4 linked regions of the Stegostoma tigrinum genome follow. The protein of the gene in region 3 interacts with the protein of the main gene of each other region in a pairwise test. Links are inferred from orthologs where the notes say so. Each region holds a gene or a part of one and is shown on either strand. Other genes may lie near its edges. The genes, in order: trim54, tfip11, airim and E3 SUMO-protein ligase ZBED1-like.

Region 1 (7,109 bases), on a different chromosome or scaffold from region 3:
CAATCCCCTCGTCCAAGTCATGAGTTGTTTGTTGTTCTGTTCTTCCTTGGTGATCCTCTTGATCTCAGTGAATAGGTTATTAATAAGCTGATGTGTTTCTTCTAACTTTGCTCATTTAATGATAAAGAAAGTATCGTTGATGCAGTTAACCAATAATTTAGGCTGGATCTGGGGGAGGATCTGCATGTTCAAGTCTTTGCATAACTGCTTCCATTATAAGACCCAAGATGGGTGAACACACCTATGCAAAAATGGCGGTGCCATAAACAACATAAACATCTTGAAATAGACCCCAGCTTAATACCACGATGGAGCAAAACTGGAAACAGAACCACCCGCCATAACAGACCAGACCATATAAATTTAAAATGGAACAGAACGTTAGCACTTCAGCGGAGGCTAGACAGCACTGAAAATGTCACCCAGAATGGGAATGAAACATTTGTACAAAAACCAGTCAGCTCGGCAAACCAACCAACAACTCTGATCTACACAATAGATCAAAAGCATTGATAGCACCAATGTTAATGTTTTAGTAAACAAAATGATGAGCTTATAAAATAATCCTGAACTTGTAGCCACTTGCACAATGTAAATTACTATACAAGTGTATTGTCACTTTAACTAAAAGTTATTAAACGTTGTGTAAATCGTAAACTTTAGTCAATAAAACAGTCGCACATTAATCAAAAATTTAGATGAATATAGTAGAGGGATCATATCAAGATAAAATATGTGACTAATAACTATCTCGGAGAGTTATCATTGGGTCAAGTATGGTAAATGATAAGCATCTGGTTCAGTGAATCATAGCTTTAAACTATCTTGCTGAAATAAACTATCTTGCTATTATTGTCAGTATTGTTCATGGACCCTAAATGTATATAAATTGGTTGACATGTTTTCTCCAATTACAACAGTGACTGCACAACATTAACTGCGATACAATTTGCATGTCCTTGTCTGAAGGGCAAAGTTTAAATTCTCTTAACAGTCAACAATTAGACTATTTACCCATTATTGTTATTTGGAAAAGACAATAACCCAACTGAGATAGACTAATTGAATGAGACCAGAAGATTCTGAACAGAAATGTAAAATAACTTTATCATTGAGAATTTGATTTTATATTTAAAATAGTTTACATTAGTGATTTGTTTGAATGAGTCTGACTATGCAATTGGAAGTCATAAAAGTGATTTCATTTGAATTATGCTCTGTCATACAAACTGAAAGTCTTGCAGATGTGTTGGCATCAAACAACCTCATTTGAGGATTTCACAAATAGCATTTCTATCTAAAATAGATGAGTGGTGTTAGAGTTTCCTCTTTTTATCCATCAATCGCAGGTCTCCAATCTTAAGTAGGCTTTGATTTAGTGCTTCAAAGAAAAGGCATTGGAACTAGAATTCTTTGTTACTGAAAGCAGAAACCACAACATCAATTAAAGGAAAACTGAAAATTAAAGTTGGAACATATAGGCCTATTAAGGCAATAGGAGTAGTTTTGAATTGTCCTAATAAAAAGACAGCATGGGCATTATCCATACAGGTTCCTCCTTTGTTGCAAACCTCTTAAAGAATCCTTGAAAAAAGACAAAGATCATAAACCGGCCCATGTGAATTTTGTACCCAAAAACCCAAACAAGTGGAATACAAGGATTTGCATCTTTTCATCCTGCAGTTTCAGGTTTTTCAGACCCTGTTCCCTGTAGTACGACTTACCTCATCATTCCTCTTCCTTTAACCTTGTTACTTTCTTAATTTGAAAATTGTGAGCATTTCCTACATAGTACTATTTGAATTCCCATTGTGGAACATTCTACTGTATTCCCAAAGGATTTGATATTGTTTGTTCTTACTTACTAATTCCTGAGCGTGGCTGATAGAAAATATACTTCTTTTTCACCTCAGCCAAAAGAGCAATATAGAAGTAAATGATTATGAGAAAGTGGTAAAGACCACTTTATTTGAATAAAATAATAAAAATGTTCTTCTATGTTTACAGATCATTGACTAAACACACTCATTCTCGGTTCAGCTTTCTCTATAAATAAAGCACATTGCGTAACCTGGATGATTCTTGCTTGTAGATATCAATGATATTTTCCACCAAGAGATTTCTCTGCAGGCCATAAACTCCATGGCGATCCAGTACTACCTCATGTCGGCAGGAAGGACAGCGAAAGCGACCCCCTGAAGGCACTGTTGTGGAGCCTCTCGACTGCCAGAATGGATTGGAAGCCTGTGAATTATGTACCAAATAAAAGTGTCAAACAGCCCTAAAAGAGTATTCAGCTACGCCACGCGTTACTCACATTCCTTTGCCTCTTGTCAGTCTTCCGCTTTTTGTAGATATTCTTCTTTGTTTTTTTTTGCTTCAACAGAACCATGCAGCTGAACGCCAGTGTTATCACCCACAGCTCAGGCAAAGAGAAAGATGTTTTATCATTAAAAAAAGAGATGAGCTGGACTTGATCATAATTTCTGCCGCCACTGTATTTGTGATCTGACATACTCTTCTTTCTCATTTCTCCTCCCCTACATCCCTTCACATGTAAATCTGCACTCCAAGCAATCTGATGTGTAAAAAACAGGCCTAAACATTAAAACTATTTTATCAAGAGCATGCTTCTAAAGAATAGTTTTCATGGACTTAAAATGTTAATACTATTAATAGTGCATTAAGGTTAATAACTATGCCACGGTAAAATGCCACTAAGTTCTGAAACACCTACCTGGAAAACGTCATTGGCACATTTTCTACACAAGTTGTGTTGACATGGTAAAATCACAACTGGCTTTGTGAACATTTCCAGACAAATAGGACAAATAAGTTGTTTCTCCAAACTGTCCATTGTCTGTGCGCCTCCAAGCATTGGTTTGAATCCTACTGCAAGGTTCATCCCCAAAATCAAGAGGTTCACTCAATCTGTTAAATAGAATTTTCCTTTTCCCTCTCTTCAAGGCACTGTTTTTCCCAACCTGTGCTCTCCGCTGAAACATCAACTGTTAGGCAGCCAGCTAAATTTAGAATCATTTCACAGAGGATCGTATTGCTTTTCTTTTAGCCAACAAATCACATGGACTAACAGTTGTGGGCTCTGCATTCCTCACTCCATATTTATCTCCTGAAATGTGAGACTGAGATTTTGAACAGCCATTTGTTGGGCAGCTCTTTCCCTTGTCAAATGATGTTTAGTCATGTAGTAAACTACTGATTATATAAATTACTAAAACAAAACTGAATGCAACTCAAAAGTTTCTGAAATCAACTCCCTGAACAAAGTTTCAAATTGAAAACCTTAAATTAAATCCAATGCAACCTGTTATCCTGTGTACAGCACTTTTTATGCTCAGCAATATATTCCTGTTGAATATATATATTTTTGCTTTACTTTGCAACTTAATCTGATTTCATGAATAATCGATGCACAAAACAAGTGAAGTGTTTTCAGATTAGTTAATTAGGAAATACAATCCTCAGCCTAATGCAATTGAAATCTCCAATTAACACAAATGATAAGATCACAATTAAGTTGGATATAAATATAAAATGAGAAAAAATGTTATACCTACCAAAGCAATGTGCCACCATCTTTCACGAGAATGTAGTTAACTACTCCTTTTTCATGACAGACTGCTATGCCAAAACAAAGGAATGGTTGTCCCTAGCAAATGTTGAGAAGTATTTAGCTGAAAGTAGCATCTAAGGAGGAATGACATGCTGGTCTTCTCAATATTAAGCTGCTCTGTGGATTTATGTTAGAATCTCAATTATTTCTAAAAAATATAAATAAGCTATTTCTTTGTTATGGTCTGTCTCCTTAGGCAATGTCACCTCTTATGGCACCATCTTAGGTACAAATATCTCAGCATAAATCTTAGATACAAAAAAGGAATACAAAAAGAGTAGCTGCATTACTTTACAGTGTTCAATGAGTAAGTCGAAATAAGACCTGGTTAAAGGATTGACAATACAGTCACATGAACAATGAATAAACATGACATTGCAGAATCTCAGTGCAGAGACTTTCACATGTCCAACAACTATACCAATTCCGCTCCAAGCTCCAAACAATCCATTGTCTGTGCACCTCCATGCGTCGGTTTGCATCCCACTGCAAGGTTCATCCCCAAAAGCATACTCTCTCTAAATTTCTTGTCATGGATGTCTCATCCTTCACTTAGCATCTTTATTCTTCATTGGGATAGAACTCTTTTTTCATGATTTCTAGACATGACAAAAGCAGCAAACACAACACATAAATAGACCTTGAAAATAATTAATTCTACATGAAGGGTGTAAATGATGTTTAGATCATCAACTACTAAATTAGTCATAAAAGCAGAATATGGTGAAAATACTCAAAATGTCTGGCAGCATCTGTGGACAGCAACAGAGCTAAAGCTTCAGATGGCTGACCTCAAAATTAATTCTAAAACTTAGATATAGATCTTTGGGGCTTTTTTATTGTTGCCACAGTTGTGGTCAGCATGTGGTATGAAATCAACTGAAGAATTGGTCAAGGATGTATAAATGAAGTGGATTTCACTCATATTGGATTCATAAACAAAAAATCTTGAAAATCATAATTAAAGCTTGAATAATGAGAATTTATATAAAATAAATGGAGTGGGAGTGGAGAAAACAATCAACAATTGGAAAATATCAATATAATTCTAAAAAACACAAAGTGGATATCCACACAAGTTCCATAAGTCTCTTCATGCATATTTTGAGAAAATTGTATTGAATTGAACAAATTAACTAGCTAAAGACAAAACAACTCAATTTCTTTATTCTTTCAAGGGGTTCTCTCAAGCAAATTCTTTGCTCAACCTAAATTGCTTTAATAATGTACATTAAATCTTAAATTTTAGTAACTAAGTGCTGTTTAAATCAGAGGCACACTGCTATGGGGGCGGCATGGTGGCTCAGTGGTTAGCACGGCAGTCTCACAGCACCAGGGACCCGGGTTCGATTCCAGCCTCGGGTAACTGTCTGTGTGGAGTTTGCACATTCTTCCCGTGTCTGCGTGGGTTACCTCCGGGTGCTCCGGTTTCCTCCCACAGTCCAAAGATGTGCAGGCTAGGTTCATCGGCCACGCTAAATTGCCCATAGTGTTCGGGGGTGTCTGGGTGGAATGCTCCAAGAGGCAGTGTGGACTTGTTGGGCCGAAGGGCCTGTTTCCACACTGTAGATAGGGAATCTAATCTAATCTATCACAGGCCTTCACTCTCATGACTGTTTAAAGCTGGGTGATGAGGAGGTGAGCAGGCCTTAAGGTACTAGCTGAGTCTACTTGTGTTACCTATCACTACTTGGACCTTTTATCAGAAGGGTTAGGTGGACGCTAAGAAGCAGTGCAAGGAATGGTCAAATGTCACTAAAGAGTGGTGACTGCTGAGAGGTTGCAAGCTCACTGAAGGCGTGAGTTTTACCTAAACCAGAATGAACTCAGTTAAGATCAGGGTGAGTGCCATTCTGCCAAAGAGAAAGGCATTAGTTGAAGGCCAAGTAACAATCACACAACTCACATTAATTCAGCAAATAAATCTGAAATTGGAAGCTAGATTCGGTAATGGTAATGATAAAACTATCATTGATTATTCTGACAACCTATATGGCACACTCCTGCCCTTTGTGAAATGAACATACTGTCCATACGGGTGATTCCAGGTGTACTAGCAGGTGACAGCTCTGCCATGATACTGTTTGTTGCTGCACTTCTAATCAGTTTTGTGCCACCAATGTGTTTATACCTGAAGTATAATCTCCCTACCTTGTATTTGATTTCCCCTTGCAATAAATGATTTTATTATATCAGCTTTCCTTGTTACTTGCTGTACCTATTACTAACCTTTTTGTGATTCATGCACTAGGATATCCAATCCCGCTGCATCGCAAACCGCTGTAATCTCTAATCATTTAGATAATCTTTCTTTTTAAAATTCACTTATTTTTCTAATCAACCTGTTTAGAAATCTTCTTAAACACTTCTGGAGCAAGTGGGACTTGAATTTGGGCCTTCCAGTCCAGGAGTAGGGACCCTACCACTGCATTACAAGAAGAGCTACCAACAATAACAAATTTTACAATTTCTCACACCATACTGCATTTGCCATTCTCCTTATTTTTCCATCACAATTTACTTTCCTACCAATCTTTGTGCCATCAGCAAATTTAGCAACTATACCTCCCATTGCATCATCTAAACCATTTATGTAAATTGTGAAAAGCTATGGTCCCAAAACCCGTTGTTACAACTTGCTAACCCGAAGTGAATCTATTGAGTCTACTTTTTGTACCTGCTAACTATTCAAACTTCTACCCATTATAACATGCTACCCCGCACGCAGAACTTTTATTTTCTACAATAACCTTTGATGTGGCACCTTATCAAAGGTCTTCTGGAAGTCTAAGCACAGCACATTCACCAGCTCCACTTTATCCATAATGTGCTATTTCCTTAAAGATCAGCAATAAATTTGTCGAAGATGATTTCCTTTTCACAAAACTATATTGACTCTGCCCAATAACCCAAAACTAGTCCGAATGTATGACTGTTTCTAATATTTTCCTTATGACAGATATTAAAATTGTTGGCCTCTAGTTCCATCAGGTACTTGTCAGCTCACAATTCCAACAATTTACTCAACCCTACTTCCCTCTTGATTATTATTTTCTTCAGTTCTTCCCTCTCTTGATTCTTGATTCACAGCTATTTCTAGGATTGAATGTATATCCTCCATGGTGAAGACTGATTTGAGTTCAATTCTTCTTTCATTTCTAATTTCTATCTAAATCACTTTTACATTCCGTGTTCCTACACTTAGGTCTTCCTTCTCTTTTATGTTGGTAACATCGTGAAATAAGAGTCATTCCTCCAATTCTTCCAAGCCTCCTGCCCCTTCTATAATGCCATATAATCTTCAATATTCAGGTGTCAATCTATGTCATCCTGCAGCCATGATCCATGATAATGCTATTGAATATCATGGGGAGATAGTCAGATTCTCTTAGTAGTTGCGATTTTCAATAATTCTGTAGATTCAGCTTGGAAATTAGTGAAGTAACTAATTTATTCAAAAAGTGGGGTAGTCAGA
Region 2 (7,399 bases), on a different chromosome or scaffold from region 3:
CACAGCAGTAATGGCAGAGGTTTCTCGGGGTAGTTCAGGAGAAATTCATCCTAAGGAAGGAGAAACATATTACAGGGAGGATGAGGCAAGCATAGCTGACAAGGGAAGTTAGGGACAATGCAAAAGTAAAAGAAAAAGCACACAACATGGTGAGGATTATTGGGAAGTCAGAGGGTTTAAAAGCCAGCAAAGTGCAAACAAAAAAGCAATAAGGGGGAGAAGATGAAATATGAGAGTAAGCTAGCTGGTAATATGAAAAAAAATTGAACAAGTTTTCTTTTAGATAAATAAGAAGTAAGTGAGGCAAGGGTGGACATTGGAATGCTGAAAAATGAGGCTGAGAAGGACTAATGAGAAACAAAGAAATCATGAACTTAATTGATGCTTTGCATCATTCTTCATGGATCATAACAAAACTTCAGAGTGTCAAGGGGCATGGTTGAGTGTAGTGGACATCAGTAAGGTGATGATGTTGGGGAAGCTGAACGGTCTGAAGGTGGATGAATCACCCAGAGTGGGTGGACCATATCCCAGAGTTCTGAAAGAGAGAGCTGAGAAGATTATGGAGACATTGGTGGTGATGATCTTTCAGGCATCACCTGTGTGACAGGTGGGCCCCAGAGGACTGGAAAATGGCTAATGTAACAAGTTGTTTAAGAAAAGACGGAGCCTGAAGATGGAGAATTATATGTCAGTTAGCCTGAGCTTGGTTGCTGGTAAGATTTTAGAGTCAATTACAAAGGAAAAGTTTGCAGAGAACTTGGAAGTGCATGATAAAGAAGAACTGAGTCAGCACTGCTTCAAGGGGAGGTCGTGCCTTACAATCTATTGCAATCCTTTGAGGAGGTAATAAACAAGTTTGATGAAGAAAAGCCGATGGATGTGGCCCATTTGGATATCCAGGAAACCTCTGACAAGCCGCTGCACAGGAGGCTGCTTTAAAAAAAAAGCCCATGGTGTTGGGGACAAGGTGTTGGCGTTGATAGAGGATTGGCTGATGGGCAGAAGGCACAGATCGGAATAAACGGATCTTTTTCTGGATGGTAGCCTGTAACTAGTGAAGTTCTACGGGGGGTCAATGTTACAACCACAACCATTCATTTTATAGATCAACAAACTGCATGTTTGAAAAAAAGCACAAGAATGGGTGGAGGGACGGGTAATGTTGATGAAGCAGGATTTCAACAAGCTAGGAGAGTGGCTGGAGAAGTGGCAAATGGAATACAATGTGGTAAAGAGTGAGGTTATCCACTTGAGTAGGAGCAATAGAAGCACGTACTATTTTCTAAATTGGGAAAGACTTCAGAAATCAAATGCACAAAGGCATTTGGGACTACTTGTCCGGGATTCTCTTAAGGTTAACATGCAGATTCATCTGGCAATTAGGAAGGCAAATGAAATGTTAGCATTCATGTCAAGCGGACTAGAATAAAAGAGCAGAGACGTACTGCAGATGCAGTGTAAGGCTCTAGTCAGGCACATTTGCAATATTGTGAGCAGTTTTGTGCCCTGTATTTAAGAAAGGATTCACTGCCATTGGAGGGCATTCAGAGGAGGTTTCCAAGCATGATCCTGGAGATGAAGAACTTGTCATAGAAGAAGTCGTTAAGGATTCTGGACCTGTACTCAACGCGTGAGAGGAGATCTCATTGAAACTTACAGAATACCGAGAGGCTTGGGCAAAGAGGTTGTGGAGATGATATTTCCTCTACTAGGAGAGACTAGGACCTGAGGGCACAGCTTCTAAGCAAAGGAACAACCCTGTAAAACTGAAACGAGGAGGAATTTCTTCAGCCAGGTGGTGAAACTGTGTTGGCTGAGTCATTGAGCGTATTAAGTCAGAGATAGTTAGGTTGTTGATTAGTAACGGGATCAGGGGTTGGGGGAGAAGGTGAGAGAACGGGGTTGAGACATATCGACCATGATCGGATGGTGGTGCAGACACGAATGGGCTGAACATCCGAATTAGATCTTATGGTCTAATGGAATTGGGGGGGGGGGGGGGCGGCGCGGAACAGGGGTTGTGTGCATATTACGGGGAACGGACTGTCAGGATTAGAGTACAGTGTCTCTCTCTCCCTCTCTCTCTCTCACACACACACACAGGCCGCTCTCCGGTTCTCTCAGTCGGCCTGGGTGCAGTTTAGGAATCGTCCAACAAAACGAACAGGAACAAAGTCCACAACCCAAACTCACCGCTTTCGGTTAATTCCAGCCACAAAGCCGCCGCCGCGCGCCCTCCGCCTCTCGGAGATAACTTTAAACCGATGTCTCACCAACGAACCACATCCGCCATCCTATGGTCCGTGCCCGGAACTCCGCTGTCGGGAAACACCGAGAGCGTACAATGGTTCCGGCCCGCGGTCAGGAAACAGAACCTGCAAAGGTGATGGTGTCAGTGGGAACAGTGAACCGAGAGGCACCGTGGGTCGTGTAAAACAGTTAAACGCTCTGAGGAACTGGGAAATTAAATAACCAGGAACAGACAGAAAGGAGGAATAAACACTCCATGTAATTTAAAAATCTTGTTTCTCTTCTTCCCAGAGGGAGCAGTTCTCAGAGTTTCCAGTTTTTGTTTTACACATCGTCCCAGCTGAGGCCCATAATCTCGAAACCTGTTGCCCCTGCACCAGATCTCAGCTTCCTCAGCAACAACACGGGCACACTGAAAGGATGCAGTTTGGTACGGCCCTTCTTCAAACTTAATTACAGAGAGAGATGTCTGCCTTACCAGCAGAAGGAGAATGGAAAACAATCAGAAAGAAAAAAGGAGTAAAGAAACGGAGAGAAAATGCCAGAGAGGTTCCCCACGCGGTGGAATATCCGAGTGTGGCTGAAGGGGAGAGAATGCAACAGAAAATAAAGGAAGCAGTGTAAGTTCACTGAATTGTCAGAACCCACCTCCTGCTGCTGCTGCGGGGTTGATCTGATGGATTTTGGTCCCGACATTTGTAGGGAAACACCTTCAGCCTCTCGCTCGTGCCAGACCAGAGATAACGTATCCAGAAACATCTGAGACGTGTGAGACGTGGAGCACACACATACGTCCACAGATTGCTGTGTGTTGGCGTAATAAAAAGGGGGGGAAATGTACTAAAATCCAACTTCAGGAGTCACTGAAAACGGAAGCCAATCTGAGTTAGGCACACAGCCAACACTACTCGATAAGGCAATTGATATGGACCTGGAAAGGTCTTCCCATGGATGCTGTACGACCTCCTGTGATCTCCAGCATTGGTTGTTTTCAGTACAGATTCCAGCATCTGCAGTAATTTGCTCCTAAGGCCTTGACAATTCTATTCTAATGAAGAGTCACTGAACTCGAGATGTTCATTCAGCCATCTCCGAACAGTTGCTTCCAGACCTGTTGAATTTTGCCAGCACTTTCAGTTTTTATTTCAAATCTCCAACATCTCCAGTTCTTTTATTCATTATTTTGACATTTACAACTGCCATGGTTGGCCAATACAATCTATGTGTTCAATCAAACCATTTCTCCTAGTCTATCATGATAGCATTTTCTATCACAATTACATTTATAGTGGTGAAATATTTCACTTTATGTTGAGATCTCAAGGTACATATTCAAGTAGATTTTTCAGATGTGACTCATCTGGCTTTTCAAGTTCACTTAAATGGTATGATTGGCCAGTATGCTCCCTCCTGTCCAGCTGAAATTCTGTCATTCCATTTTGAATACTTCAGTTAAGTCACAGCGTCATAATTAGGCATCCAAGTTAATAAATTGTGGAAGCGATTAAATGTACCTTAAGTGTTGGCTCATTCCTAACAGTTTCCTTTCTTTTTCATTCTCTACAAGATAAGTTTAAAATAATTTATTCACCTATTATTACAAGAAACAAGACATATGGTCAGACCTACTCTTTACTTGCTTTGTCCCTGTAAATTTGACACCTACAAAATAATCATAGCTTTCTGTGATGGAAAAACTAACCATTGAACTTTATTACAGAAAGGAACTGCAAAGTTCAGAATTCTGGATTGATTGCCTCGGTGAGTTGGTAGACTTAAGTTCTAACATGGGAATGTTTCTAGAATCAATTGTTCAGGATAGTATTCATCGTCACATGTGAAAATATTGATTAATTCAGAAAGGCCAGCGCGGATTTGTCAAAGGAAAATCATGTCTAGCTAGCTGAAGTGTTTGAAGAGGTGATAAAGAGAATTGATGAGGGCAATGTGGTCAATATTGTGTACATGGACTTGCAAAAAGAGTTCAATATAGTGCCACACAATAGACTTGTAAAACAAAAGTTGTAGTTTATGGAATAAAGAGAACTATAGCAATGTGGATATAAAATTGGCTAAGTGATAGGAAACAGAGTAATTGTTAGTGGATGTTTTTTGGGCTTGAGTAAGATGTATTGTGGAGTTCCCCAGGAGTCAGTGTTGGAATTCTTGCTTTTCCTGATATATGTAAGGGGTCTGAATCTTGAAGTGCAGGAGATAACTTCAAAGTTGGGAGCATTATAAACTGAGAGGAGGATAGCGTAGAATTTCAGGAGGAAAATTACAAGTTGGTGGAGTAGGCAGAGAGGTGAGAGACCTGCTGTATATGTACATAAGTCAATAAAGGTGACAGGTGGATGTTCAGAAAGCTAGTTCAGACATGCTGGACTGAATGACATGCACCTGAAACAATTCTGTAATTATCTATTTGCAATTTTTACGACATTCAGTTTGCTTCCTGAGATGGTAATTGTCACAATCTGTTTCAGAAACCTTTCAAAGAGTTGTGAATATGCATCATACAGATCAACTTGTATCTCCATCAAGTCCCTTCCCTACTGGGGAACCTCCAGATTACCTTGGACACAAAAAGAAAAATACAGATCATTATCGATATATGCTTAACTCGGTATGTTATGGAATCGGAAATTTTTCTACTTCCATGTCATCTCGTTATCAGCTGGCCCTGCTGTTCCTACTGCTAGAGACACTACAGGTAAGTGTAGTCAGGTGCTAATGTGTGAAGTGAATGGGGAGCTAAAGAGTCCATTGAGTAATGTTAGTTTGCATCATTCCTGAATGCTTAGAAACCATAGTTGTATTAACAAGTTGCTTTTCCATCTTTGATTCTGCTTGTCCCATTCTTCTTGCACGGTGTATCTTTCATTCAGCAAAAGTCTAGTGTTTTTGTACTTTTTTGTGGAAATAAATCAGTGACTCATAACTATGTTTAAAATGATAATTCTCTAAATCTATAAATCTGCAGATTTAGGAATGGACAGTGAAAAACATTCAAAACAAACATCTTCGAACAGGTAATACCACATAGCGAAATGTGAAAAGTTTTGCAACTGTGCTTCCTCGTATGATAAACTCAGTCTGAAATCATATTTTCAAAGCAAGCTGAAGGAGACATAAGAATCATTCACACACCTTGTTTTAACAGCGTGAAGTGGATGGAGGGCTTTACTTTTGATTCAGCTCATGCCTCATCCAGAAATAAATCATTTCTTTAATGCACAGTTTTTTTTGCTGTATGCAATTGCAGTGAACAGCAGGTATGCGAATGCAGCTCGGAGATCTTCATTGACCCTTTGATCTTCACTTCCACTTCATAGAATGCAGCTGATATCCGAACGTCTCTGTGATTGAAATCATTAATTCAGCCCATTTGAAGGGAGGGGCAAAGGGATAGAAAAAGGCAGCTATCTCACCTTATGCAATCCGTTGCAACCGTGCAAAATTAGAAGTGAACAGATGAGAAAGAAATCAGTTTTAATTTATCAAATAATCATTGTCCAGCACCGTTTCCCATTTTTGTAGTTGTGATTTTGCTCCATGTAAAATTTTAAATTTTGTTGTTGTATTTAACAGATCCCTCGAGATGGCTGCCTTTTCTTTGATCCACTATTTACAGAATGGGAGAAGAAATTCTTGAAGGACAGTGGGATGGTGGTGCTTGAGGAAAATGAGGTAAAAGGCATTGACACAGTTAGTTTTTGTTTTGTCCATTGTCTTCTCTGTGAATCCTGTCTGACAAAAGGGATGCATTACTTTCTGGTTTTGGGTTTCTGGTGATTGCTCCAAATTTAGCCCCTAATCACAGCCAGATCTTCTGTATGACAATTTGAGGAGCAAACTGCACCTATCCATGTGCTTCAGAAATTTTATTGCATATCGTGACATGATTGGCAATATTCTTTTAAAAATCTATTAGGAAGGGAAGCGGTCCATCGACAGGCCAACGCTGTTCTACATGATTCACTGTGGCAAAGCTCTCTACAATAACCTTTTGTGGAGGAATTGGTCACCACAAAAACTCGCACAAACTATTCTCATTGGAAACAGTTTCAAAGGGATAGAGGAGAGGTAAGAAAATTTTGCTGCTGTTCATCCTTTGTAAATAAAAAAAACCTGTGTGGTGATTTAATAATTATGATGGGGCAAGATAGGAAAATAGTGATAGATTACGCTCTGTAGGACATTAATGCAACAATAGTACTGTGCGGGATAATATGAGAATTGGAATTTTAAATTACACACAATGGTTTTATTAAAGTGGAGAGTTTAAGGTGATCTAATTTCAATATTTAAGAAGAGTTCATTCAGCAAATCTGTTCACCACAGTGAAGATTTGAACTTCAAGCATAGAGTCTGGAACAGAAAGGCAGGGGTGAAAGCTTTTGAAACAAAGCATAGTGGAACTGGGAAGAGGTTATCAGGGACGTTCATTGGAATGGATATTATAATTAGATTAGTAATATCTCCAACTATGTTCTTGAAAAGAGAATATTGAAAGATGATAATCTTAAAACAGTATTCTTATCAAAATTGTTGAACTTTCTTTTAAATATTGCAGAATACCAGCCCGAGTGCTGAAGAGGGACTACACATACATTAATCATGTATCCTTCAGTAATTTCAAATAACAATTCAATTTCTGCTGCTACCCATGGATCCTAATCTCTCGATTTAAGTTAGGGGGTTTGAGGGTATGAACAAAGAGAGAAAATTGACCATGAATGCTTCTACTGATGTAGTTTTGGCACATGTTCCCACTGCAGAATTATGAAAATGAAAGTTGTCTATATGACATGGTAGCTGTGTGAAAACTAAGAATTATTTAAGTTTTAACTAGTCTATTAACAAACTGCCATCGAGACATTAACCGCCTCAACCTCTCCACCCCCCTCACCCACTCCAACCTCTCCCCTGCAGAACGGGCAGCCCTCTGCTCCAATCCCAACCTCACCATCAAACCTGCAGACAAGGGTGGTGCAGTGGTAGTTTGGCGCACTGACCTCTACATCGCCGAGGCCAAACGCCAACTCTCCGACACCTCCTCCTACCACCCCCTTGATCATGACCCCACCCCCAAGCACCAAACCATCATCTCCAACACTATTCATGACCTCATCACCTCAGGGCA
Region 3 (7,002 bases):
TAACAATAAACGACTCGATGGTTGTACAAATAAGTGTCAGGAGACAGTACTTCAGGCTTAATTATCAATAGATGAGCGATGCTGGAACCTACATTTTCTCACCAAGGCTTTCCAAATTGATTTCGATAGCCCGAGTGAGTTTGTATTTCAGACGGCACTGCAAATCAGGGAACACTCGAAAGGGGGTATTCATAAACACAACTTTGTTGCACGCTTGCAGTTGCTCTGCCAAGTTACTCAGCGAACTCAGGATTGGGATACATTCCGTCAGTGTACTTGCCCACAAATTTTGTTGCTGCTCAATAACATGGAAACATTTCTCCAAAACTTGATGAACAGCCAGCAAGGCTTGTCTCTGAGCCATGACTTTCTGCTACAATAACCTAAAAAGAAAATCACAAGCAAATGAATCCAATTGACAAGAAAAATATCCAGTGAAGTACAAATATCCAAAGAAATAAAAAAGGTAAAGCAAGTGTTTGATTTGTGGAAGTGATTAGACTATTAAGAGATTTTTTTTTAAATATATGACTTAGCAAACAATGTTCTTTAAAACTGCAGGTATTTAAACAAAAACACTCTGAAAATATCTGGTCATTCTTACAATTAAATTTCATATTAGCTTTATCTTGATCTTGGGCTCTAATTTTTTCCCTCCTTGTCAACCTTTGAACAGAATATAAAACCAGTACAGAATGACAATCTTCTGACCTGTACAATTATCTCCCTATAAAACTGATGCTATATTTATTTTTTCCCTTAATTACCATGGTTACCACAATAACCAGGAGATTGGTACTGAGTAAATTCTTGGAGCTGTAGGCTGGCAGATCCCCGGGTCCACACGGACTTCATCCTATAACCTTAAGTGAAGTGACTTGTGAGATGGGTGCTTTTAATTTTCCAAAATTTCCTCAATTTGGAGAAAATAGAGGCAAGGTGGAGTAGTCATGTCACTAGACTATTAATGGGGGACATGGAATCAAACATGGGTTTGAATCCCTCATGGCAGATGGTGAAACCTCAATAAAAAGCTAGCTAGTGGTGGCCATGTAATCACCACTGTTAAAATAAATCTGGTTCATTCATGTACTTTATGGAAGATAATCTCTCTCTCTGGTCTGACATAAATGTGACTTCAGACTGTCAGAAATGTGGTTGACTCTTCTGTGCTCTCTGGGCAGTAAATGTCATCTGGGCAATGCCACATCCTGCACATGGATCAAAGGAGTTTTGTTACACCGGAAGAAAGTGAAAATGGCACAATTCTTTTCAAATCAGACTTAAAGCAGGAACTCAGCCATAACCAGATGTTAAAAGCTACTGTCAAAGACAAAAGCACTTTGAAAAAATTCAAGTTAATCTCATAGAATCAACATAGCTTTGTTAAGGGAGAGTTAATTTTTTTAAAGGGTTCATAAAACCAACAACTGAACCAGCATCCACTGCTGTTTGTGGAACAGTGTTCCAAACATCTACCAGCTTGTGTGCAGACGTGCTTCCTAACATCTCTCCTGAATTGTCTGGCCCTAATTCTCAAACTGTGTCCCCTAGTTTGAGGATTCCCAACCAGTGAAAATAGTTTATCCATCTTTTCTTTTCCTGTTACATCATTTTTGTTTAAATCATGAAGACTACCTATTTCAGCCCCTGCTTGTTTTGAAAATGTCAACCATGTTTTCCAGACCAGAATATTTCATGCCTCTCATCCTTTTTAGTCTTGAGCTCATCCAAAACCCTGTTATCTGTATCCTAATTTCCAACAAAATGTTGTTGTACCCACACACTATTGCAGTTATTGTGTTTGCTGATCTGCATTTGCTTCCAAATCTCAGTAGGTTGAAGCATAAAGTGTTTAAATTCCTCAATCCCTTCCTAAAAAAAGATGTTGCCTGCAGATGTGGAATTCCTCCTTCAACTGACCCCTTCAACTTAAAACCCAATTCTGAATTTTAAGTTTCTTATTAATTTCAAAAATACACTTTATTCATTAAAAATATCTTGTGTATTATAAATAAATATAATACACACAGTACTGATCTGTGCAGTAGCATATCAAGAAAACAAACAGAAGTTGATTCTATCCAATCAAACCAAAGACATCTTTTTGAGTTTTAAGTCTTCCACGTAAACTTGTCCCTTCCGTAACTCAAGTGAGAATTTCTGATTACAATCTTGCGTGGTACTGACCAAAAATAACACCTCTATCCCAGTGACATTTACATAAGTAGTTAACAGCATGATGGTCCACAATTGAGAACAGATACTGGCCAGTTCACCAGAGACCACACTCTCTGGAAATGGCGCCTATGGGATTTGTTAGGGGCATCTGAGCAGGCATGTGGGACCTCCGATTAATATCTCACATGGGCGATGGAATCACTGTGCTCCTGTGAACTGACCGCCTTGAGGCGGCCTCATGGAAGCAATGGAAATGAACTACAACATGTCGGCAACAAAGCCCCATGAAAAAGCCTCCTCACAGAACGTTGCTGCTGACACTTTTCGAAGAATGTGCTGGAGAAGGGTCAGCCGACCCACAGCGTTAACCCCAGTTTCGTTCTCCACATATATGCTGACTGGCCTGCGGAGATTCCTCCAACAACACAGCAGGCCAAGCAGGATTTAGGAGCGAGAAAGTTGACGTTTCAGGCCTAGGCCCGAAACGTCAGCTTTTGTGCTCCTGAGATGCTGCTTGGCCTGCTGTGTTCATCCAGCTCCGCACCTTGTTATCTCGGATTCTCCAGCATCTGCAGTTCCTACTGTCTCTTCCTCCAACAATTTCTGCTTTCGGTTCAAGTTTTCAGAGGCGCGGTGGGCGAGAGTGACGCCGCGAGGAGCTCGACCAGTTAAGCGATTCAACACGCCCAAACGGGTGAGAAAAATAAAATAATACCCCGGCCCGACCAACGTACTCACATGTCAACGGCAGCGAGAGAAACTCCACAGCACTTTAATACCAAACGTCCCTACCACACGCCTTTATCCGCGCCTGCGCACATCTCACCCAACCACCAGGACTACAACCCCCATGATGCTCCGCGCGCAGTAAAAATTTTTTGGTATCCATCTCGCAAGAATATGAATATTACTGAGAAGACACAGACACACTTGGTTATTTTCGTGCTCTGTTCCTCCTTGGAGTTTAAAAATGATTTAGTTGCTGCAAGTTGAATTTTGGACGGTTGCTCTGTGAAGTGACATCCCACCATGATGGGCGATTGGATAGGTTTTGGGCCAGCCACGCTGCGATTGGGCATATCCTGGACAGTTCGTGCTGTGAATGGCTGATATCTGGGATAGCTGTGCTGCGATTGGCTGTGTCCTGGACAGGCCTTGCTGTGATTGGTTGATACCTGGCGCAGTTGTGCTATGATTGGTTGGACACGGTGAAGCAATCTGCCCCGGCCCACCGACGTCATGCTACCGTTAAAAAAGCACACCCAATGTCTCTGAGGTAACGAAGTGTGGAGTTGGATGAGTACAGCAGGCTAAGTAGCGTCTCAGGAGCACAAAAGCTTTGCCCTGTTGTGTTCGTCCAGCTCCACACTTTGTTATCTTGGATTCTCCAGCATCTGCAGTTCCCATTATCCCTGACACCCAATGTCTCTACTTCCTCAGAAGGCTAAGAAAATTTGGCATGGCCACAATGAGTCTTACCAATTTGTATAGATGCACCATAGAAAGCATCCTATCTGGACACATCACAGCTATCTTTTCAAATCAGAACTGGCACTCATGTATTACTTTATCTTTCTCACCCGCTTGGGCGTGTTGAATCGCTTAACTGGTCGAGCTCCTCGCGGAGTCACTCTGGCGTACCGTGCCCCCCTCGAGCCTCTGAAATGCCTCTGATGAAGGGTCTAGGCCCAAAACGTCAGCTTTTGTGCTCCTGGGATGCTGCTGGGCCTACTATGTTCATCCAGCCTCAGATTTTATTATCTCATGTATTGTACAGTTATTTTGTAACAATGCCTTAAACCAGTGTCATGTGAATCATTTCTGAAGAAGGGTCCAGACCGGAATCGTCAGCTTGTCCGGTCCTCTGATGCTGCCTGGCCTGCTGTGTGCATCCAGCTTTACACAGTGTTGTCTCCTGTGGATTGTCCTTGTTTACATTTCATCAAAACACTAAATGGCTTTGAACACCATCATTACCTCAACCACCCTTTGTTAACCACCCATAATTGCAAAAATGATGGTGAAGTACCTTAATAAACCATTGCAGTCCATGTGGTGTAGTTACACCGACAGTGGAATTATGGAAAGAGTTCAAGAGTTTTGACCAAGTTACAGTGAAGAAGAGAGTGACCAATTATATCAATTTCAGGAAGCGGAATGGAGGCCATGCCCCTGTCTGTATCAATGATGCTGAGGTGGCAGCAGTCAAGATCTTCATGTTCCTAGGAATAAATACAACAATAACCTGCCCTGGTCCATTCATGTCATGCTACCATTCAGGAAGAACACCAATGCCTCATCTTCCTCAGAAGGCTAAGAAAATTTGGCATATCCACAATGATTCTTATCAATTTTTATAGATGCACCATAGAAAGCATCGTATTTGGATGCATCACAGCTTGGTATGACAACTGCTTTGGCCAAGACCACAAGAAATTAAAGACATTTGTGAACACAGCCCATCATGAAAATCAGCCCTCCTTCCATTATCTCCGTGTACACTTCTCATTTCCTCAGGAAAGCAGCCAGTATAATCAAATACCCCTGCCATCTTGGTTATATTCTCTTCCACCCTCTTCCATTGGGAAGAAGATACGAAAGTTTGAAAACACATACTCATATTTAAGAACAGCTTCTTCCCTGCTGTTGTCAAACTTGAGAAGAAACCTGTCATATATCAGAGTTGATCTTTCTCTGTGCGTTCTCTACAGCTGTAACACTATGTTCTGCATTCTGTTCTATTACCCTGATGTAGTTGTGTACAATATGACTTGTCTGGTTCGTACGTAATGCAATACTTTCACTATCTCGCTACGTTGACCAATAATAAATCAAATCAAATCAAGATAGTTTGGTAATCAGAGCTCCATGTTTAAAATTGGCTAAAAAGTAGACAGTTGTTTTCACTTTTACAGTTTGGATCTAGAATGCACAATGTGAAAGACTCGGTGAACTAAATTCCACAGGAGCTTTCTAAAGGCAATTGAATGCATATTTGTAAAGTAAAAATTTTATGCAGTGGAGGGTTGAACTTGCGAGTAGGAATAAAATGGGAAGTTTAGATTAAATGACCCTTTTATAGTATAATATTTTATGAAAAGTTGACACTGAGACACATAACGCATTAGTACAGATGTCTAACAAAACTGATCAAAGCAGTACATTTTAGAGACGCCTTCCAAGAGGTTAAATGTTGGAATATCTGTGCTTGGGACCAAGACAACTGATGACACAGTTGCTAAACTCCATCCAGCCTGTGCCATTCAATCCTTCCTTTTCAGAGGCGACTTCAGCTCGGCACTAGTCTATGACAAACTCTCCAACAAGTAAACACAGGGCTATGATCTTCTCTTAAAACTGGTGTTCAGACCATTTTCTGTTTGCTATATAAGCAAACTCATTTAGATCTTTCACTGATAAGCAGGTCCCTAAGGTTACCTATCATTCCCCAATCAAATGTTGCTCACTGGGACAGTGAGATTTTCCGCGCAGTTAATTACACTTTCTACACTTCTTTTGGCCAATTTGTCAAAATGCTTTGATCGGACATGCTCGTTTGAAGATGATTCAGTGTGTATTATGGGTAACAGTTACTATTTAGAAGAATTTGATTTGTTAAAAAGGCAACGTATGTGATTCTTTGAATCCCTTTTCCCATTTTATCTCCTTCCCCCTCCTCTTTTCTCAATTCTGTCCATCTACTTTCCTTCTATCAAATTAACAGCCCAGCAATAATACCATTAGGCCATCATCTGCACTTATTAAAGGTCAAAAGTATAAAGCAACATTTCCCAACACCTTTCAGTTCTGCAGTTAGAATGATCATTCTGGACTTAAAATGCTAATCCTGTTTCTCCCTCCACTAATATTGCCAGATCTGCTGAGTTTCTTCATGATTTTGTGCTTGCTACGGTGAGGATGGATCTATTCTCACTCCAGAAGGGATTGAGATCAAGGCAAAGCAATTGACAAAAGACAGAAAGTGTGATTTCAGACAAAGCCAATTCCCATAGTATATGCATGGGATGCTATATGCACTGCTGGAGGAACAGCATTGATTGTTGTAGTCAGAAGGCTTATTCATTGGAAAGAAGCCGTAGATCAGCCGACTGATTGACTCTGGAGATAGTAGGAACTGCAGATGCTGCAGAATCTGAGACAACAAAGTGTCGAACTGGATGAACACAGCAGGTCAAGCAGCACCAGAGGAGCAGAAAAGCTGTCTTTTTAGGTCTAGACCCTTCTTCAGAAATGGGGGAGGGGAAGGGGATTCTGAAATAAGCAGGGAGAAAGGGGGAGGTGGATAGAAGATGGATGAAGGAGGAGATCGGTGGAGATGAGACAGATAAGTCAAGCTAGGGTTGGAGCCAGTAAAAGTGTATGTAGGTGGGGAGTTAGGGAGGGGATAGGTCGGTCCAGGGAGGACGGACAGGTCAAGGAGGTGGGAATGAGGCTGGTGGGTAGGAGATGGGGGCGGGGTTTGAGGTGGGTGGAGTGGATAGATGGGAGAACACGTTACGGAAGCGAGTACGAGCTGGGATGCTTTTGGAATGTGGTTGGGGGAGGGGAGATTTTGAAGCTTGTGAAGTCCACATTGATACCATTAGGCTGCAGGGTTCCCAAGCGGAATATGAGTTGCTGTTCCTGCAACCTTCGGGTGGCGTCATTGTGGCACTGCAGGAGGCCCAGGATGGACATGTCTAAAGAATGGGAGGGGGAGTTAAAATGGTTCACGACTGGGAGGTGCAGTTGTTTATTGCGAACCGAGTGAAGGTTTTTTTTGTTGAAGAAGGGTCTCGACCCGAAACGTCTAACTTTCCT
Region 4 (7,853 bases), on a different chromosome or scaffold from region 3:
ATCTACAAAGGGCGGGGGGAGGCAGCCAGGACACTGGAACGGAGTTTCCCGGTGAACAGACAATGCTGGGATTTTAATGTCAGCCACCAGGACAATTTAATCGCGGTCTCTCTAACCTGGCAGCAAAAAGTTGCGTCCGAGCAGCTGGGAGAGCAACACCTTCACCCCCACGGCGTAGGTCCACAGAAACGCGGAGAGGGGCGACATTACAGCAACCGAGCGAGAGCAGTCGAGGAGGGTACAGCACGAGAACCGTCCCCCAGCGTGGAACACACTGAGCCGCACAGACGTTCCGCCGCACTAACAGTCCCACCTCCAATTCCTCCTACAACACAGCTCAAACCAACGCATTATAACAATCTTATAACAAAGTGTGGAGCTGGATGAACGCAAATCCCCTCCCCCCCACTGCATCCCAAAACCAGTCTCTGTGATAATGGGAACTGCAGATGCTGGAGAATCCAAGATAGCAAAGTGTGAAGCTGGATGAACACAGCAGGCCAAGCAGCATCTCAGGAGCACAAAAGCTGACGTTTCGGGCCTAGACCCTTCATCAGCCTGTCTCTGCCTCCCTAACCTGTTCTTCCTCTCACCCATCCCTTCCTCCCACCCCAAGCTGCACCTCCTTGACCTGTCCATCTTCCCTGGACTGACCTATCCCCTCCCTACCTCCCCACCTATACTCTCCTCTCCACCTATCTTCTTTTCTCTCCATCTTCAGTCCACCTCCCCCTCTCTCCCTATTTATTCCAGTTCCCTCCCCCCATCCCCCTCTCTGATGAAGGGTCTAGGCCCGAAACATCAGCTTTTGTGCTCCTGAGATGCTGCTTGGCCTGCTGTGTTCATCCAGCTTCACACTTTGTTATCTTGGATTCTCCAGCATCTGCAGTTCCCATTAGCACTCACACTCAAACCAACACATACCGAGCAGTGGCTGCACTCACCCAGGCATTGTATGTATGTGTGTGTACATTTATTTACAAATTACATATATCAATGGAAAGCATTGTGGATGCTGGAGATCTGAAATAAAAACAGACATTTCTGGACAAACTCAGCAGGTCTGGCAGCATCTGTGGAGAGGAAAGCAGAGGTAACTGAATTAGATGTGACTGAAAAATTTGCATTGGCCTTCCACAATCACATGATCCTGAGGCCCCAAAGCACTTTACAGCCAATGAAGCACTTTTGAAGTTTGAACGCTATTATAGGGAGCTAGAGGTCTTTTGGTGCAGTGTTAGTGTCCCTGAATCTGAGTCAGACTCTCTGCGTTCAAGTCTCACCAAAAGAAGGTTCATTCTCAGTGCCTTCAAAGTAGCTTGTGTATCAAGCTGCAGACCCTCCCGACATATGCCATCTATAGGCAGTAAAACTGGAAGACTGTTAGTCAGCTGTAAGATAGGAAGACAAAGTGGAGCCTCTGCTGGCTCTGCACTGCAGCATAAAAGTCAAAGTGCATCTGCTACAGCAACTCAGACTCCTTGAGGAGACAGGTTGCCTGATCAAGAGCCAGTGCAGATCACATTAATGGCTAACAGCCCAAGTTTGGATCTGTCTCAGATACATTTGGGACCTGAACAGTTTGCAGTTCTGCGGGTTGGACCAGTCTTTGAGTTTGCAAAATGTAGGGTACATCGCAGTCAATCAAGGCACAAGCTCACACAAAAACATGCTAGTTTACATTGGCTAATTCGCCTATCTTTGCAATGCTAGTTTAAAATATTGTGAGGACTCTGGGAAGAACATCTCTGCTATAATTTGAAATGGTGCTGAGGATTCTTTTACATCCACCAGATGACATCGGCTGGATCTTAGTTAAGTCTCATCTGAAAGAGATATATATTTATGTGGAGGAGAGGTTTCATTTAGCGAGGAATGAAATTAAAATACAGAGCGCTGTGTATTGTCATATCCCTATATCATGAAAAGGAAATAGAGGTGTTGGAACAGATGTTAAATAAATATATATATTTATAAAGGTGAAAGCAGAAATGAGAAGTTATAACTATCATAGAAATTCTAAGCAGGCTGTGGCTCTACTTAAGAGAAAAAAGACTTCATCAAATGTTGATTATTTCACCTACACACACACACAGATCTTCAACTGGTTTTTGCACTGGAACTTGGTGCAATTAAAAACCTGAGAGACAACGACAAATTCTAAATGGGAATCAAGACTTGTGGGAAATGCAAGCAACATCACATTTGTCTCAACTAAATCAAATTGAAGAATCTTTACTGTGGGTCTGATTTTAACTCACTCAGAACCTACTCACAGAGTCTGATCATTAACATAAATTAGGATAATTAACTCAACACGATATCACATTCAAAAAGCAAAATAGAGAGAGAAAGAAAGATGAGATGAATAGAGAGAGGCAAAACAGAAGGGAAAAGTGAAAAAAAACTTTTTTATGTTATGATGTTCAATGGACAAGTCCAAACTTTTGATGATATGGTATTTATCACATTAAGGTCAACTATTTAGTGCCTTCCAAGCATTACAGTGACAAGCTTTGAGGCATGATATTAGCATAGCAAAGCTTTTGGAAGAGCTGATCAATTAGGATTTATATATGTGTGGTATTAAAAAGATTTTCAACATGTAACTTGTCAGAGCACAAATTCATGGATTTTATATTACTTTAATAGTGAATCCTTGTTCAGTCTATTAGTACATAATATGTACATCCACCCATATTTTGCAGCAAAAAAATAGTGAAGCAACAAGTGCTCGCTATTATTAAAGTGTAAAATTGGACAATGATTTCTGATGCCTATACCAAAGTAGTTGAAAGCAAAATTTAGGATGTTGCTCTGATCCTCCAAAATCTATAATGACACCAGTATCCCACCAGAATTCCCATTATTGATGCACTTAAATTGACAGGAACCTGTTGTACTTACAGATATCCGCTAAACAGGGGATTGGGACTGACTGGATTGTCCCCGTAAAGAACCGGCATGGACCAATAGGCCAAATTACCTCCTTCTGCATCATTGTGACTCTATGAGTAAACATAAGGGAAACAGTTAGGAATTATCCAATTCAAAAGTACATTTTAAAGGTATGATAAATCTTAACCATTCTGGCCTTGTAAACAAACTTTTAACAGTGTAGAATTGCATTCCTTCAGTTTATAATTATTTGCGATGAACAGAAGTACTAGGACTAGGAGTAAGCAATTCAGCTCTTTAAGCCTGCTCCACTGTTTAATACAACCATAGCTGATCTCATTTCAGCCTGAATTGCAATTTCCTGCCTGGTCCCATAACTCTTCAACTCATTACTAATTAATAATCAGTCTATCTCCTCTCTAAACTTACTCATTGTCCCGGTATTGACCGCAGCCTACAGCAGCGAATACCACAGATTCAAGACCTTTTGAGAGAACTAATTTCTCCTACTGTTTTAAATCTAGTAGCCCTTCTCCTAAAATAATGACTTGTCATTCTAGATTGCCACAAATGAAGAAACACCTTTTCTACATCTGCTTTGTCAACCCGCTTTTTGATCGTTTTTACCTCAATTAGATCTCATCTCATTTTCATAAATGCCAAGAAATATGGGCATAAATTGCTCAATTTTTCTTCATAACGTAAACCCCTCATCTCCAGAATCAATCTAGTAGGCCTGCTCTAAACTACCTCCAATGCAACTACATCCCTCTTCAAGTAAGGGGTTGAAGATTACCAGCTGCAGTCTGACTAATGTCTTGTACAGTTACAACAACACCTCCTTACTCTTACACTCTACATCTTTAGCAATTAATGCCAAAATTCTTTTGCCTTTCTTATTACCTGCTGTACCAGTAAAATAGTTTTCTGTGTGAGCCATGCCCAAGGACACCCAGATCGCTTTGAAGCACTGAAGCACTATGAAGTTTCTCTACCTTTAGATAATACAAAGGCTTTAAATATCATGTCATTCTCTTACTCACAGCAATTTTTCCCTCAAGATCCTGAAAGTTTTGATTATATTCCAGCCCTACACTTCTCTTTGTGAGGCAACATCCACTCCACATCGACCTTGTCAAAATCCCTCAGGATCTCATCTGTTTCAATCATGTTGTCTATTGGTCTTCTGTCTGTGCACCATTCCCATAAGTGTTTTCTTGCCTTTATTATTTCTCATCTCCATTCAAACTATTTCCACATCCTGAACTTAGGCTCTCGACTCTATTGTGTTCCTGCTATCAATATCTAACAGAGCCAACCTTCCATTTTTTCCTAGCTACCTGTCCTTCCTGTATGTCTTATATCCTTCAAGATCCCCGTCTCTGTCATCCGATGACAAAACATTCGCTAAACCTTTTCACTTTGCACTCATCATGACAATTCACAAGAATTATCAATGTAAAGGGTAGACAACATTCATACTGTACAAGAGAGGGAGAGTTAGACACTGGTCAATGGTGGACACTGTGTTGTGAGAATATTACTGAATCTATACAACTAATGTATCCCTTTGGAAATCTTTCAGTTATAGATAATTCTTTTCTGCATAGGTTTGTATGTAACATTTATTGCGTAGATTTTTTTTCACTGTGCGGAAGCTACCAGTGTAGAACATTTCTACTACATTTTACTGTATACAATAGTATTGCATAAATTGTGTGACCTTCTGTCAAGGTTGACATTCAAGTTTCCCTACACTGAATGGGTAAATATTTCACCGTGTAGTTTTATATGGTTGTTCAGTGTAAAACCCATTCTACAGAGGATCCTCATAGCCATCAAATAACATTTATCTTATCAATCTAAGCTGATTTGAAACTACATTTTCAAGGTAAGGCCAGTATATAAACCATTACACAGCCCAGAAATGTTTGGAAGGATATGGGCCAGGAGCAGGCAGGCAGGCAGGACCAGTTTAATTTGGAATTATGCTCAGCATGGACTGAAGGGCCTGTTTCTGTGCTGTATGACTCTATGACTCCATTCCAAAAATGTGCCCGAGGTTTTTCACCAATTAGATGCTGGTGTTAGATCAAACAAGGAAATAATTTTTGTAAGTATCTGTTGGATCCACACAACTTCTGATTATATCCTTCCATCCCTTTTCTTCCCAAATATGTATCTGAGCAACTTATGAGCTCATTTGTATAAACCTCAGTGGTTTTCCCCGGTGATCTATCCCCTTTGGAAGAAAATGTTCTATTTGACTCATTTGTTTATTCTGAACTTCTAAACTTCATTTGGTATCCCCTGGTTTTTGTCAATTTCCTAATTCTCTTCAAAATTCCTTCAATTCCAAAGAAGAATTAAAACTTCGACGCCAACTGCCAAAACCATTACCCGGTATATCATTGATAATGGGAACTGCAGATGCTGGAGAATCCAAGATACCTGCTGTGTTCATCCAGCTTCACACTTTGTTAACCCGGTATATCATTCATGTCTTCATTACCCATCTTCCATATTTAACAACAGTTCAGAATAAAAACCGAAAGAACTACAGATGCTGTAAATCAGGAATAAAAACAAAGTTACTGGAAAGGCTGAGCAGGTCTGGCAGCATCGGTGAAGGAAAAAACAGAGTTAACGTTTCGGGTCTGGTGACCTCAGAACAGTCCTGAGGAAGGGTCACCAGATCCAACATGTTAACTCCGTTTTTCCCTTCACAGATGCTGCCAAACCTGCTGAGCTTTTCCAGCAACTTTGTTTTTGTTCCTGAAACAACAATTCAGGCTGAGCCACAGGGCAGGTTGAGCAAGTGCATGGAACTTTTGGGACCAAGGTGTCTAAATAGCAAAGAGCACAACCGTACAGTAACAAAATTAATCTTAAGCAAAAGTTGCTGGTTCAGCTTCCATTGCCGTTTTCGATGAAATTCTGATCACACTTCAACAGGGATGTGAAGACTTTGGAGAGGGAACTGAAAAAAATTTACAAGATTGGTCCCTTAGATGAGGGTCTTCAGTTACTTGCATTGACTGGAGAAGCTTGTGTTGTTCATCTTACAGAAGTTTGAGAGCAGACTTGATCATGTTGGAGCATGCCAAAAGCAGTGCCAGGCAGACCTAAAACTGAGGTGTTAACCCGATGAAGGTACAACACAGGACTACTTGTATGACAAACCACAAAATTAGATGCATTGGACAGAGATCCCACATCTAGCAAATCAGATGAAAGTTCTGCAATCCTGGGACAACCAATCCTGAACAGTGTTGGACAATTAAATAGCCAACAGGAAAATGACACTTCAAGGTGATAGAGCAATCTGAGAGTGGTCCCTTGCCTCTGTTCTCAACTGATAAGGCTGCAGACAAAGCTAATGTTTGAGTTACAAGAGTTTATCTCAACCATCTTATGGATACCCCAAGAGCTACCTCTTACAGCTGTCAGATAAGCCCATTAACTTCCATTCAATCAGTTCTGCCTGAAACGAGCTACTTAAATATAATGTTATGAAGAACAAGTCAAGGAGGAGGAGACGAGCTGGGCTGGTTTTGGGATGAAGTAGGGGGCGGGGACGAGCTGGGCTGGTTTTGGGATGCAGTGGGCGAAGGGGAGATTTTGAAGCTTGTGAAGTCAACATTGATACCATGGGGCTGCAGAGTTCCCAAGCAGAATATGAGTTGCTTATCCTGCAACCTTCGGGTGGCATCATTGTGGCACTGCAGGAGTCCCATGATGGACATGTCATCTAAAGAATGGGAGGGGGAGTGGAAATGGTTTGCGACTGGGAGGTGCAGTTGTTTATTGTGAACCGAGCGGAGGTGTTCTGCAAAGCGGTCCCGAAGCCTCCGCTTGGTTTCCCCAATGTAGAGGGAGCCACACCGGGTACAGTGGATGCAGTATAGCAAATTGGCAGATGTGCAGGTGAACATCTGCTTGATATGGAAAGTCACCTTGGGGCCTGGGATGGGGGTGAGGGAGGAGGTGTGGGGGCAAGTGTAGCACTTCCTGCGGTTGCAGGGGAAGGTGCTGCGTGTGGTGGGGCTGGAGGGGAGTGTGGAGCGGACAAAGGAGTCACGGAGAGAGTGGTCTCTCCGGAAAGCAGACAGGGGTGGGGATGGAAAAATGTCTTGGGTGGTGGGGTCGGATTGTAGATGGCGGAAGTGTCGGAGGATGATGCGTTGTATCCGGAGGTTGGTGGGATGGTATGTGAGGACTAGGGGGATTTTCTTTGGGCGGTTATTGCAGGGGCGGAGTGTGAGGGATGTGTTGCGTGAAATGCGGGAGACATAGTCGAGGGAGTTCTCGACCCCTGGAGGAGGGATGTTGCGGTCCTTGAAGAACACGGACATGTAGGATGTGCAGGAGTGGAATGCCTCATCCTGGGAGCAGATGCAGTGGAAGCGAAGGAATTGGGAATAGGGGATGCAACTGCACCTCCCAGTCGCGAACCATTTTAACTCCCCCTCCCATTCCTCAGACGACATGTCCATCATGGGCCTCCTGCAGTGCCACAATGATGCCACCCGAAGGTTGCAGGAACAGCAACTCATATTCCGCTTGGGAACCCTGCAGCCCAATGGTATCAATGTGGACTTCACAAGCTTCAAAATCTCCCCTTCCCCCACTGCATCTCAAAACCCAGCCCAGCTTGTCCCCGCCTCCCTAACCTGTTCTTCCTTTCACCTATGCCCTCCTCCCACCTCAAGTCGCACCTCTATTTCCCACCTACCAACCTTATCCCGCCTCCTTGACCTGTCCGTCCTCCCTGGACAGACTTATCCCCTCCCCAACTCCCCACCTGTACTCTCCTCTCCACTTATCTTCTCCTCTATCCATCTTCGATCCGCCTCCACCTCTCTCCCTATTTATTCCAGAACTCTCTCCCCATCCCCCTCTCTGATGAAGGGTCTAGACCCGAAACGTCAGCTTTTGTGCTCCAAAGATGCTGC

Evidence for each region.
Region 1: the proteins of airim (region 3) and trim54 interact in binary tests that used the Homo sapiens proteins (3 or more experiments, as listed by UniProt). The two-hybrid records come from large-scale screens. The link is inferred for Stegostoma tigrinum from reciprocal best matches to the Homo sapiens genes AIRIM and TRIM54.
Region 2: the proteins of airim (region 3) and tfip11 interact in binary tests that used the Homo sapiens proteins (3 or more experiments, as listed by UniProt). The two-hybrid records come from large-scale screens. The link is inferred for Stegostoma tigrinum from reciprocal best matches to the Homo sapiens genes AIRIM and TFIP11.
Region 4: the proteins of airim (region 3) and E3 SUMO-protein ligase ZBED1-like interact in binary tests that used the Homo sapiens proteins (3 or more experiments, as listed by UniProt). The two-hybrid records come from large-scale screens. The link is inferred for Stegostoma tigrinum from reciprocal best matches to the Homo sapiens genes AIRIM and ZBED1.

The regions. Positions count from the first base shown.
Region 1 is NC_081357.1:80,447,904-80,455,012, reverse strand, and holds the start of trim54 (tripartite motif-containing protein 54), read right to left. Parts: upstream 3,012-7,109; 5' UTR 2,906-3,011; coding exon 2,738-2,905; intron 2,245-2,737; coding exon 2,072-2,244; intron 1-2,071. UniProt on the Homo sapiens protein: May bind and stabilize microtubules during myotubes formation.
Region 2 is NC_081379.1:17,491,927-17,499,325, reverse strand, and holds the start of tfip11 (tuftelin-interacting protein 11), read right to left. Parts: upstream 3,024-7,399; 5' UTR 3,013-3,023; coding exon 2,902-3,012; intron 2,874-2,901; coding exon of another isoform or gene 2,719-2,873; exon of another isoform or gene 2,197-2,718; intron 1-2,196. Other genes in the region: srrd (SRR1-like protein), read left to right, coding at 2,719-2,873, 3,974-4,014, 4,740-4,966, 5,845-5,943, 6,188-6,339, 6,830-6,875. UniProt on the Homo sapiens protein: Involved in pre-mRNA splicing, specifically in spliceosome disassembly during late-stage splicing events. Intron turnover seems to proceed through reactions in two lariat-intron associated complexes termed Intron Large (IL) and Intron Small (IS).
Region 3 is NC_081377.1:9,425,351-9,432,352, reverse strand, and holds the start of airim (AFG2-interacting ribosome maturation factor), read right to left. Parts: upstream 3,022-7,002; 5' UTR 2,920-3,021; intron 2,914-2,919; exon of another isoform or gene 2,726-2,913; intron 384-2,725; 5' UTR 365-383; coding exon 93-364; intron 1-92. UniProt on the Homo sapiens protein: Part of the 55LCC heterohexameric ATPase complex which is chromatin-associated and promotes replisome proteostasis to maintain replication fork progression and genome stability.
Region 4 is NC_081359.1:101,414,793-101,422,645, forward strand, and holds the start of E3 SUMO-protein ligase ZBED1-like, read right to left. Parts: upstream 3,010-7,853; 5' UTR 3,009-3,009; coding exon of another isoform or gene 2,908-3,008; intron 231-2,907; exon of another isoform or gene 208-230; coding exon of another isoform or gene 117-207; intron 1-116. Other genes in the region: dhrsx (dehydrogenase/reductase SDR family member on chromosome X), read right to left, coding at 2,908-3,008.